3 linked regions of the Nothobranchius furzeri genome follow. The protein of the gene in region 2 interacts with the protein of the main gene of each other region in a pairwise test. Links are inferred from orthologs where the notes say so. Each region holds a gene or a part of one and is shown on either strand. Other genes may lie near its edges. The genes, in order: rras, araf and nelfcd.

Region 1 (3,654 bases), on a different chromosome or scaffold from region 2:
CGTCACTCACTCATTAAACACTGAAGAAAAGATCTAGTTAGGCAAAAAGAACACACACACACGAGCAGAAGCTGCGGGAGGACGATGCACTGGGGTCCACGGTAACAGAGCTCAGAGGATGACACAGGGACAGCCTCCTCGGTTCGGTTTCCTGGTCTGCTGGGTCGGTGGAGGGGGGCTCTCCAACTCCTTAAACCGTCTGAAAGCAAGAAGAGGAACCATCAACACCAAGACCTCCAGGACTCTGGCATTGTACAGAGCTGCTGGTTCTGATCTGGGTCCAGCCCAGGATTGTGTTTCCAACACTGCTGTGGTCATCCTGACCCAGCACCAACCCTTTTATGTTCTCATTTTCCACTTTTGTTGCAGAAGAACAGGACAGCCACTCATACAGGTGTGTGCGGGTTGGCATGGACCTTTCTTCCAGATGTGGTGGGCTCAGATAGGGTGGTGTTCAGGTCGCAGGGCGGTTCGGTTGGGAGGAATGTGTCCTGATTAAACAACACGTGACCACCACGCCAACAGATCCCATCGTGTTACAGTGACGTCACGGCACCACAACACCGGATACAGAGCCTGATGTTTGCTCTGATTTGTCGCCTTCAGCTGAAACAACTCGTGACGTTTTGGAACGTTCTACCTCGAGACGATAAAATAAAAGCAGGGTTCTGTTAGAACCACAGAGCGGTCTGCTCGGTGACCACATGACTCCAGGAACAGTGACAACACCAACAGCTGAGGCGTGTTTAACGCCACACCAGAAGCTTCTCCGTCCTGATGGTGAGATAAAGTTAATCCTAGAAGCACTCTGCCCGTCAACAGGAAACGGAGCCCCGACCAGAACTAACCAATAGCGTTAGACCACCGCTTACTTGCTTCATGTTTAAGGAATACCTCGGCTGATGCAGAGTTGATGAACTTTTCACAGACAAGAAAGTCTCTAAAATATAAATATATGAGAACTCAACATGACATGAGTGTAATACTCGTAAAACTACGTGTTTTAGCTGTTTGTCGGCTACAGAAGCACATTTATAAACAGAAACATGAAGTCGCCATCTTAAAAAAACAGAGGAATAGACTGTGTGTGATATGCTTGTCAGCCACTAGATGGTGCCATCGGATAAGAAATACTCCGGAAAGAAGCTTTAATGGTGCTTCAGGTGATTACTAGACTAAAGCAAAGGAAATCCAGATGATTCTTCAGCAGAAGCTCTGACACATGGACATGAGTCTAGAAGGTTCTGTACCTGATGATCTGCACCAGCTCCAGGAAAACCTCGTCTACGTTGTAGCGGTTTTTGGCAGAAGCTTCCATGTAGTGGATCCTGTTCTCCGAGGCGAACGCCTGAGCGTCCTCTCTGGAGATCTGCAGACAGACACAACCAGGTCCAGGTGAGTCCAGTTATCAGGTTCTCACTGCTGTGGTTTCTGACCCTTACGGGGTCCTGCTGCCTGGAAGTCTGTCCCAGCCATCGAACCGGGACAGCAGTACTGAGGAAAGGAGGTTTTAAAGACGGTCGGGACAGAGGAGAGGTCTCTGTCAGAAATAAAGAAACATTATTAGATATAAAAACTTTATAACACGCTTTATAAGCCTGCTGGCCCGCCAGGCTAAGCGTCATGCCCCGCCCCTACCGTGTCTGCTGACACGAATGGCGCAACGAAACTAGAGCCCTCCATCAGCTGATACAGGAGAGAAACAGCAGCGGAAGGTGTGCATTTATTATTGTCAACTTTTTTACCGGGGTTTACCGCCACACCGGTTACCGTGACAACCCTAGGTGGAACATGTGTCAGTGTTTTCCAGAGGAGGTCTCACCACTCTCTGTTGTTCCAGGTCCACCTTGTTTCCCACCAGAACCATCGGGAAATCATCTCTGTCCTTCACTCTCAGGATCTGGGTGTGGAACTTCTGGACCTCGTGGTAACTGCAGGAAGACACAAAAGGCTCAAACTGAGAAAAGAACAAGGCGTTACGTTTGCTCTGTGTTTTCTATCCAATCTAACCGTTTGTGCTTCTTCATCACACCATCGTTTTTACCTCTGCTAACATGTTTCTGCGTCTACTGCCACCTTCGTCAGAGCAACCGCCGATGTTGGTGACGTCATTTCCGTTTATCTGCGGTCAGCGGAGGATGACATGGCCCTGCTGGTCTTCATGTCTTCCGTTGGATCTTTTTCGGTGTTTCGTGTGGGTTTTATTCCTCGAGCATCCACCTGTTGATTATATTTGTCTTTGTCCATCATCACTGTTCTTCCTGTCTGCTGGTAGAATAACGACGAGGGATGTCACGGCTGTTCTTTCTCCTTTTGTAAAGTTGCTGTGTTACAGTGTTGCCCCCCCCCCCCCCCCCCCCCCCCCCAGTGGACCCAGGACCACGAGTATACACGCTGGACCATTCGTGACGCAGAAGGCGATAGACAGACATCGGTGGTTATGCTGACAAGGCTGGCAGTAGACGCCAAAACATGTGAGCAAAGGTAAAACAAGCTCTGTTTGCTGTAGGGATGATGAAGAACCACAAAACATGAAAAATGAAAACCAAGTTGGCATTTTTTGCTGAAATGACATTTAAATCAAATCTAATGAAAAAAAACCGTCTCCTCAAATGTCTCAGGTGGAATCCGCAGGTGGCACACCTGTCCTAGAGGGCACCCATCCTGCTCCAGCACACCTGGATCACATGTTTATCACTTCCTGCAGATGCTTGGTATTTAAATCAGATGTGTTGGAGCATCTCCCTGAAAGAGTGGACCTGGAACCTTTGAGAACCTGATTGTTTCTGGGACAGAACCTTTTTGCTTACATCAACCGGGGGGGGGGGGGGGGGGGCATTCCAAAATGCAAGATTTTCCCAAACCAGGCTTTTGTTGAGATTCCCGCCCCTAAATGGGTTTTATGAATGTGGCTAGCCTGAAACCCCACCCATTCACCATGGTAACGCACGCTGCAGAACAAGCAGCTGGGGCACACAGAGACAGATACGCTACGCCACGGAAGCGCCGCGGTTTTGGGAGGTCAAGTGGTCACATCGGGCTCGCTAGGCCGCTGAACGCTTCTTGGAAAATCGCGATAGTCACAACATCACGCGAGACTTGAGAACAGGAAGCGGAAAGTGACACTTTATGCGTGATCAGACATAATGTCAAGTTTAGTGAGACTAATTCATTAACCCTTTGGTGCATAATGGTCACTACAGTGGACAGGTACTCAAAATTGTTATTTATTTATTTTTGCTATTAAGCACAGCTGTTGAAGACTTTATTGCATGTGAGCCCCTCCATTTGTGCTTCAGCAAGTCAAGCCAACACATTTCATGTTCAGAACGCACGCTGTCCCCTGAGTTGGACATGTAATAAACTATTTGTAAATTAACAAAATTTTACAAAAGATATTTGTTGAAATTTGTTTCATTCACACCTAAATATGAATGAAAAAAATTGTTTAAAAAATCGTGGTTGAAGATTTCATTATTCATGCATCAAAGGGTTAAAATGGGTAAGTGCACCATTTATTACAATATTTTAGGATCAATAGTACTTTAAAGTTATCAGTACTGTAATCAAGTAGCATTTATAAGCTCCTTGTCCATGTGTTGGTGGTTGGGTTTGTGCCGGAGAGCCGCTCTGCGTCGTGTCTGTTGTAAAGTA
Region 2 (3,654 bases):
TGTGTGTGTACGTGCGTGCGTGCGTGCGTGCGTGCGTGTGTGTTGTTAAACTGCTAAACACTAACTTAGGGTCATATTGTTTTGGTTTCATTAGTTTTTTTTGTTTTTGATGATTAGGTTGGACAGAAATTCAAGAGCGACGGCTGGTTTTCACCAGCTGAATTTTAGACAGAAAAGGGTAGAATGGCTTCTCCAGGTCAGGGACGAGGTGCTGCCTCAAGTCAAGGAGATTAAGTATCTCGGGGTCTTGTTCACAGGTGAGGGAAAGATGGAGTGTGAGAACGGCAGACGGACTGGTGCTGCGGGCGTTGTACCGGTCTGTTGTGGTGAAGAGAGAGCAGCGCCAGAAGGCGAAGCTCTCGATTTGCTAGTCGACCTACATTCCTACCCTCACCTATGGTCACGAGCTTTGGGTGGTGACCGAAAGAACGAGATGGCGGATACAAAATGAGTTTTCTCCACTGAGTGTCTGGGCTCTCCCTTAGAGAAAGACCCGCTGCTCCTCCACATCAAGAGGAGCCAGTTGAGGTGGCTCGGGCATCTGGTCCGGATGCCTCCCTGGTGAGGTTTTCCGGGCTCGTCCAACTGGAAGGAGAACTAAAGGAAGACCCAGGACACGCTGGAGGGACTGTTTTGCCTCTTGGTTGGCAAGGGAACATCTTGGGATTACCTCAGAGGATCTGGCCCGAGTGGCTGGGGAGAAGGAAGTCTGGGCCGCTGGCCCCACAACCCGACCCGGCTAAACGGAGGACAATGGATGGATGGATTTTTAGTCTGTTTATTTCTATGTAATAATTGGTATTGTCATTTTTGGGTTACTTTGGTGATATTGAAGGGTTTTCTGATAAATTCATGTCTGATGGTTTTCTCAGAGTTTTACTGCCTGACTGATGTTCCACTGAAGATGGGTTTATGAGAGAATGACACCAACAATGAAACCAGCTCTGAACCTGGACCAGTTCTGGTAGCAACTGGACTTTCTTTACCCAACATAGACGCCCTTATTTGCAGATCATAGCTGCGTTCCCACTAGTCGAATTCCAGGACACTTAAACACGATGGCTTCATCCTCACAGCTGTTGTGTCAGCGCATCTGGACCGTTTCAGCGGTGAGTGATGACACCGGTCAGCCCAAAAAGGTGATGTGAAGCTACAGACGTTAATAACATTTACATCGTTTATTTTTTTAAAGTACGCCACATTTTACGCAGTTCGGGGGACGACTTAGGAGAGCGGCTCTGTGACGTTGACTTCTACAGCGGTTGTAAAAGGACTGGAAGGAGGTCCGACCTGGTCCCTGTTGTTGATGTTGGAGTAAGGCAGGAATCCTGACATCAGCTCAAACAGCACCACTCCATAACCGTACACGTCTGACTGGAATGTGTACGGGTTGTCCTGCATCCGGATCACCTCTGGAGCCTGGGAGGAAACGCGGAAAACCTACGATTAGCTAATTCAATCATTAATACTCTCAGTAAATGTGGCTGAGGACGTAGTCTGAACAAAGCAGACGCTGGTGAAACTTACTAGCTACAAACACAAGAGAAATTACAGAAGTAACATGAAAGGAGAACCAACTGTAAACTGCCGAGACTGCAAACAGACCAATCAGTATGGAGCTGTAAAATCTCCTCCCAGCTAAATAACCACACCCTCCAGGGACCTAAACCAGGAAGTACAACGCTGTTGTTCAAATCCAGGTTCACTGAACTTAGGTGGGCATGGACAGAACGATCTGTCTTCTGTCAATTCGTTTTCAGGCTCTCTTGTTCTTTTCTTTATGCATTTCAAGGTTTTAATTCCATGTTGTCGTTCTTTTTCGACGGCGAAACTGTAGCGTCAATAATGGGTAACAAAACCGTTTCTGTGTTTTAAAAAAGAACGACAACATGGAGTTAGAAATGACGCACAGCAAGAACACACCTAAGATTTCAAGGGTTTGTTCATGAAAACTCACCATCCAGAGAATGGACCCACTGGGCTGCTCGACCTGATGAGAGCCACTCCAACGAGACTTCACCGTGGCCAAACCAAAGTCACCAATTTTAACAGTCCAGCCTTCATGGAGAAAGATGTCTGGCAGCAAAGCTTAGAAGACGGTTCCTCTGAGTTACACACCAAAACATCTGCACAGTGTGAGAGGGGCCGACCCATGGAGAACTTTAACCATCACCAAAACCTGACTTAGGTCAAAGGTGGGTTTCATACTCAGCTGTGTGCTGCTTCACTCGACTGATCAACAGTGGGAAGAGGGTTTGAACCCCCGCCGACTTAGGATAGCCCACTGAAGGAAAGGAAGGATCACTCTAGAAATAGTACGTCTATGTCAGGGGTCGGCAACCTGTTCCCATCAAAGAGCCATTATTACCCGTTTCCCACAGTAAAGAAAGCACTGGGAGCCACAGCAGCCGCGGCGTTGTGGGCGGGGCCTACCCTCAGACAGCAGAGAGCTGCTTTAACCAATCACAACAGGTGACAGCAGCCGGTACCGGTCGCTCGTGTACGTCAAAGTTATCTTTCATAAGAAGATAATCAATAAAACGATTTATATAAAGTGGATCCAGAAGTTGTAGCCCGTCTCTGCCGACAATATTTTGATTTTTTTCACCCTGTTGGTGGTTTTACTGAGCAGGTGCCACTTTTGTCATACGTTTCTTTTTAAAACATGTTTAGACTGTTCAGAATACAAATTCAGGCTCTGTCACGTTTGATTGTTGTAATTAAACTTTGTAGGTGGGGAAGGTCAGAAAAGGATCCGATCATTTTGTTTTTCCCTCATTTACAGTGACGGAGATAACGGCGCAGTGCGCCTGGCTCTGGTGTTAATCAAGTTTAATTTTATCTATTTTCACAAGAAAACAGAACAGTTAAAAGCAGGGCTTGTGTTGACCGGACAGTTCCCGTATTTAGCCGTTTATTTTGACGGAGAAAGAAAGAATTACCCCGACGCATGCAGACGAACTGACATTTTATTCTACGCACATCGCAGATGTAGCTAAATCACTCAAGAAAAGGGGGGGTCTACATAAAGGAATGGGGAAAAACCCATCCTGAGATGTGTGTAAACCTTGTGTCCAACTAAAGGACATTTGACCTCTGACATCAACAAAGCTAAAGCCCAAAGGGTCAAATCCTCGTTTCCTTCATAAAAAAGCCATGTGATGTGTCACCGTTTAGACATTTTTCAGGGTTTTTGTTCCTTCTCACTGTTCAAATAAACCAGCGACCTTTCTTTGTTAGCGGCCAAACTAGCAAAATCAGCAGGGGGTCAATTATTTTAATCCACCTGTTTAAAGGAACCATTCACACTGGTGGTCGTTGCCTTCAATCTGGGACTGAACTAGTAGTTGGACACTAAATCATTTCATCTGACTGCTCCGTAGGACCCAGAACTTAACCACAGAACATCGGACGCTGATGGATGATTGAGTTATAGTTTATGTGACCCGACTGACCCTCAACCACCAGTCAGAATCAGTCCAGCTGTTCAGATGTTTACACAGCAGCCGTGAGCACAGACAGGAAGTAGCATGAACAAGTGTTTGAGTTCTCCAAACAAACAACAATTATTGTTTACGACTAAGTGTTTGTAAATGACGTTTAGTTTGTTGAAGACGGACCGGTTCTGGTTTCAGTGTTTCCCCAAGAGGTTTG
Region 3 (3,654 bases), on a different chromosome or scaffold from region 2:
ATATTTAGAGTGCCCAGGTAGCACATAAACAATGCAATTTAACAGTTTTCTTAAAGTAGGAACGTTTAACCTGTGCGGCCAGAGCGCTCTCCTTCCTTCTGCTCTGCGTAAACCTGAGCTGGTCACCTACTTGTGCGTAATCAAATGTCAATAGGGGACAAGATATAGCCATGATGTTCACTTTTACCTCAGACCGACTTATTGCTGTTTTATGGTGTGGCTGAATCTGCGATCCGCTGCCACGTGGACCAGAATAACAAATGCTGCATGAGTTCAGGTTCGGAGTCACTGGCTGGAGCGGACCCGACTTTAATACGTCATCCCAAAATAGAAGCTAATATCTTAATTTGACCTTGAATGAAAAATGTTATAAAACCTCTTAAAAGTTTTTATCACAGAGGAGGCAGCGCTCATTTCTGTCTTCAGTCTGACGGCGCGCCGGAGTTTGCGCGGCGTGCGTGCTTATTGAATCTCTGTGTGTGTGTGTGTGTGTGTGTGTGTGTGTGTGTGTGTGTGTGTGTGTGTGTGTGTGTGTGTGTGCGTGCGCAGGGCACAGCTCCATGAAGCTTGGTTTATGCTTGACGCATTCACTTTCCGCTTGGTGATGCGGCTGGCGGATGGAACGCGCTTCACAACTTGCAGAGTTTAAGTCACTGCGTCTCGTTATTGGTGCTATTTAAACTTCTGCCCAGCCCAGATGTGCTCACTTGTGCACCCGAGAGCCGCTGGAACGCATCTGATCTGACAGACACACTCTGAACTTCAGATCTTCAGCGCGCTTTTAGTAGCCTGGATGGGAATAATTTCTTGATTTATTTAGTTACATCCACAATGTTCTGTGTGTGAGGTTTACAATGTCAGAACACCTGCATGAGACAGGGTGTTAATTACAATCTGCCAGAATGACTCGCCACCTTCAGATTTCTCCAACACCGTTAAAAATGATCAAATACGGAACATATCGGCGTGCGCAGGCCAGAGTGCTGAAGCTCGGCGCATTGTTATTATGAAGTTAGGGCACATGTGGAGGACACACACGCAAAAATATACTTGTTTTCAATTAAATTTATTGTGCCCTCTTACTATTTCTTTGGCCCACCCACAAATGAGTTTCTGGCTACGTTAAAGGTGACATCTGACAGACTTCTCTGAGCTCCGCAGCCATTACACTTTTCACCTTGCGCACCCCCTAGTGGCAGCTCGCGCACCCCCGGGGGTGCGCGCACCACACTTTGGGAATCCCTGGTCTAACTCATAATTTCAGACACTGATACCAATATTTGCTGTGTCCCTCTGTCATAAAAAAATAAATAAAAATAAAACATTTTAGGTTGCCATCATCACATATCTCCAATGATTAAACTTTAAATATTTTCTGTGCAAAATGACAACTACTTCAATTTAAGTTATTCATAGGAAAAGTGACATATTGCATCTGAATCTCATTCTCCCTAAGTGTGACGCCAAGAAGTGTGCATTAGTTAGTAATAATGTGCTCTTACTTATTATGTTATTATATTGAAGCTATGGTGATAAAACATTTATAAAGATGTTCAGAAGAGAAAAGCAAACTTTGTGTGAAGATTTTAGTTTTTGTTTGTTTGCTGTAGCGTAGCCATGTGCTGTGAGGACAGCAGATCCCAACTACTACTCCACAAACAGAAAAAACTACAGTATCTTCAGATCTAGAGGTTGACTGTTATTTTTTTTCTATTACTGATATGTGTTAAAGTCAGACACCTAAATAAAGTTAATTTAGAGTATTTATTATGCAGAAGTTAATAGTGAACGTAAAAATACATTTAAATTAAATCCTGCAACAGCACCAGGCTGCCCAAGGATGTGCCTGACTTTAAATTGGCTTTATTAAAGGACAAATATCGGCCGATGCTGATGTATAAAAACCGGTAAACATCGGCTCGATACATCAGCCAACTGATATGTCGGTCTACCCCTACTCAGATCTGTCATATTTTGACATTTTGAGAGAATAGCTGAAGAGTTTGATGTATATGTGACCGATAATGTTGAACATCCCTACTCACAACAGTAGCATTTTTAGAAGAGCTTTTAGCATGTTTTAATCCGTATATCAATGCAAATCATTTTGAAAGCACTTAATATAACTTGAGTTACTGATATTGTATTATTGAAAAAAGCAACATATTCCTATAAGCCATTACTTTTGCAATACGTTACTTTCAACAGTGCCACTAAGCTGTAATCCATCATCCTTTACTCAACAGTGTTCCCTTTAGACCGACCTGATGCACTGGTACAAGGTGCTGAGTTCAGCCACCAGTTCTGTAGCTCCTTTGTTCTCATTGCAGCACAGGTTGTGAACGGTCTCTATGGCCTTGGAAGTTGATTTCAGCTCATCTTTATTGATGTTGACTCGCTTGTTCTGGTATTAAGACAGAGGGTTAAAACGTTAGGAAGACTGCAGTCTCAGGCCCTGTCCACATGTAGCCAGGGATCTGCCAAAACGTAGATATTTTTCTACGTTTTGGCCTGTCATCCACACGAAAACGGATCTTTTTAAAAACTCCGGCCAAAGTGAAGATCTGCGTTTTCTCCGTTTTGGGTGTCTGCGTGTGGACAGACAAAACCGGAGTTTTAAGGTCCGCAACGTCACTTTCCGCGACAAAAAATGCTGACATCACGTGTGCGAACTGTGCTTACACTAGCCGGCATCATGGATGCCCTCAAAGCTGTGCTCTGTCACTACCCGATCCATCAATTGTCCAAGCGCTTTCTGCTTGTTTGTTTTTGCAAGCGGAATTACTGCTCCTTGCGGAAGACCACAGACGAAGGACGAGGTTAAGAACGGGGTAAGTACTGCCGCCTACAGGTCTGGCATGTCCTTAACAACGTATTTATCCGGGTACGTGTGGACAGAGTTTGTTTTTAAAACGCGGTGGTGTGGATGCAAGTTTTTGGAGGGGCGGATATTCGTGTTTAAAAAACCCCGGCTACGTGTGGACTAGGCCTCAGTGGATCAAGATGACAAGTAAAACATGTGAATTCTGCACATTTCAAACATGTATCTGTACCTTTTTCCACGTCTCAACAACGCTGGCTGCGTAGCCTAAAATGTGGATGTATTTGTGCTTATGGTCCTGGTTGATTTTTGATCCAGGCTTGAAAAGAGACTGCATGAACAGGTCTAGAAAGGCAGGAACCCTGATCTAAAAGGCAGAAAACACCAATGTTTTAATTAAGAGCACCTTCACAAGGGATAAAACATGGGAAGGAGTTTATTCTCACCAGCTCTACAGGAGGCGGGTCCATGCTGCTGAACATCTTGAACAAAACTGTGATGTCGGCAGGATTCAGGGCTCCTTTGGACAACATGGCGCCCAGAGCCTGGCAGGCTCGAGGGTAGGCTGCTGCCGTACCAAGTGCGAGGGTGATCTGACTGGCATCATGACCCCTGGATTCAAACAGAAATCAGCGTTAATAGTGATACTGACATGTACTAAACGCACACACACAAAATCAAGCTGCTAGCACTTTCTTCTTTAACATGGACTGTAACTAGTTACTTTTCAGGGTTTCCCCCAGTGCTTTATAAGCCTGGCGGCACGAACGGCGCAACAAAACTAGAGCCCTCCATCAGCTGATACTGGTGAGAAAACTCCCAGTCTCACGGAG

What was found.
Region 1: the proteins of araf (region 2) and rras interact in a two-hybrid assay, tested with the Homo sapiens proteins (2 studies listed by BioGRID). The link is inferred for Nothobranchius furzeri from reciprocal best matches to the Homo sapiens genes ARAF and RRAS.
Region 3: the proteins of araf (region 2) and nelfcd interact in binary tests that used the Homo sapiens proteins (3 or more experiments, as listed by UniProt). The link is inferred for Nothobranchius furzeri from reciprocal best matches to the Homo sapiens genes ARAF and NELFCD.

What each region holds. Positions count from the first base shown.
Region 1 is NC_091758.1:14,005,329-14,008,982, reverse strand, and holds part of rras (ras-related protein R-Ras), read right to left. Parts: intron 1,932-3,654; coding exon 1,823-1,931; intron 1,370-1,822; coding exon 1,251-1,369; intron 200-1,250; coding exon 112-199; 3' UTR 1-111. UniProt on the Homo sapiens protein: GTP-binding protein with GTPase activity, likely involved in the regulation of MAPK signaling pathway and thereby controlling multiple cellular processes. Regulates the organization of the actin cytoskeleton.
Region 2 is NC_091757.1:26,527,172-26,530,825, forward strand, and holds part of araf (serine/threonine-protein kinase A-Raf), read right to left. Parts: intron 2,077-3,654; coding exon 1,958-2,076; intron 1,420-1,957; coding exon 1,291-1,419; intron 1-1,290. UniProt on the Homo sapiens protein: Involved in the transduction of mitogenic signals from the cell membrane to the nucleus. May also regulate the TOR signaling cascade. Phosphorylates PFKFB2.
Region 3 is NC_091743.1:48,868,821-48,872,474, forward strand, and holds part of nelfcd (negative elongation factor C/D), read right to left. Parts: intron 3,434-3,654; coding exon 3,268-3,433; intron 3,189-3,267; coding exon 3,054-3,188; intron 2,405-3,053; coding exon 2,265-2,404; intron 1-2,264. UniProt on the Homo sapiens protein: Essential component of the NELF complex, a complex that negatively regulates the elongation of transcription by RNA polymerase II.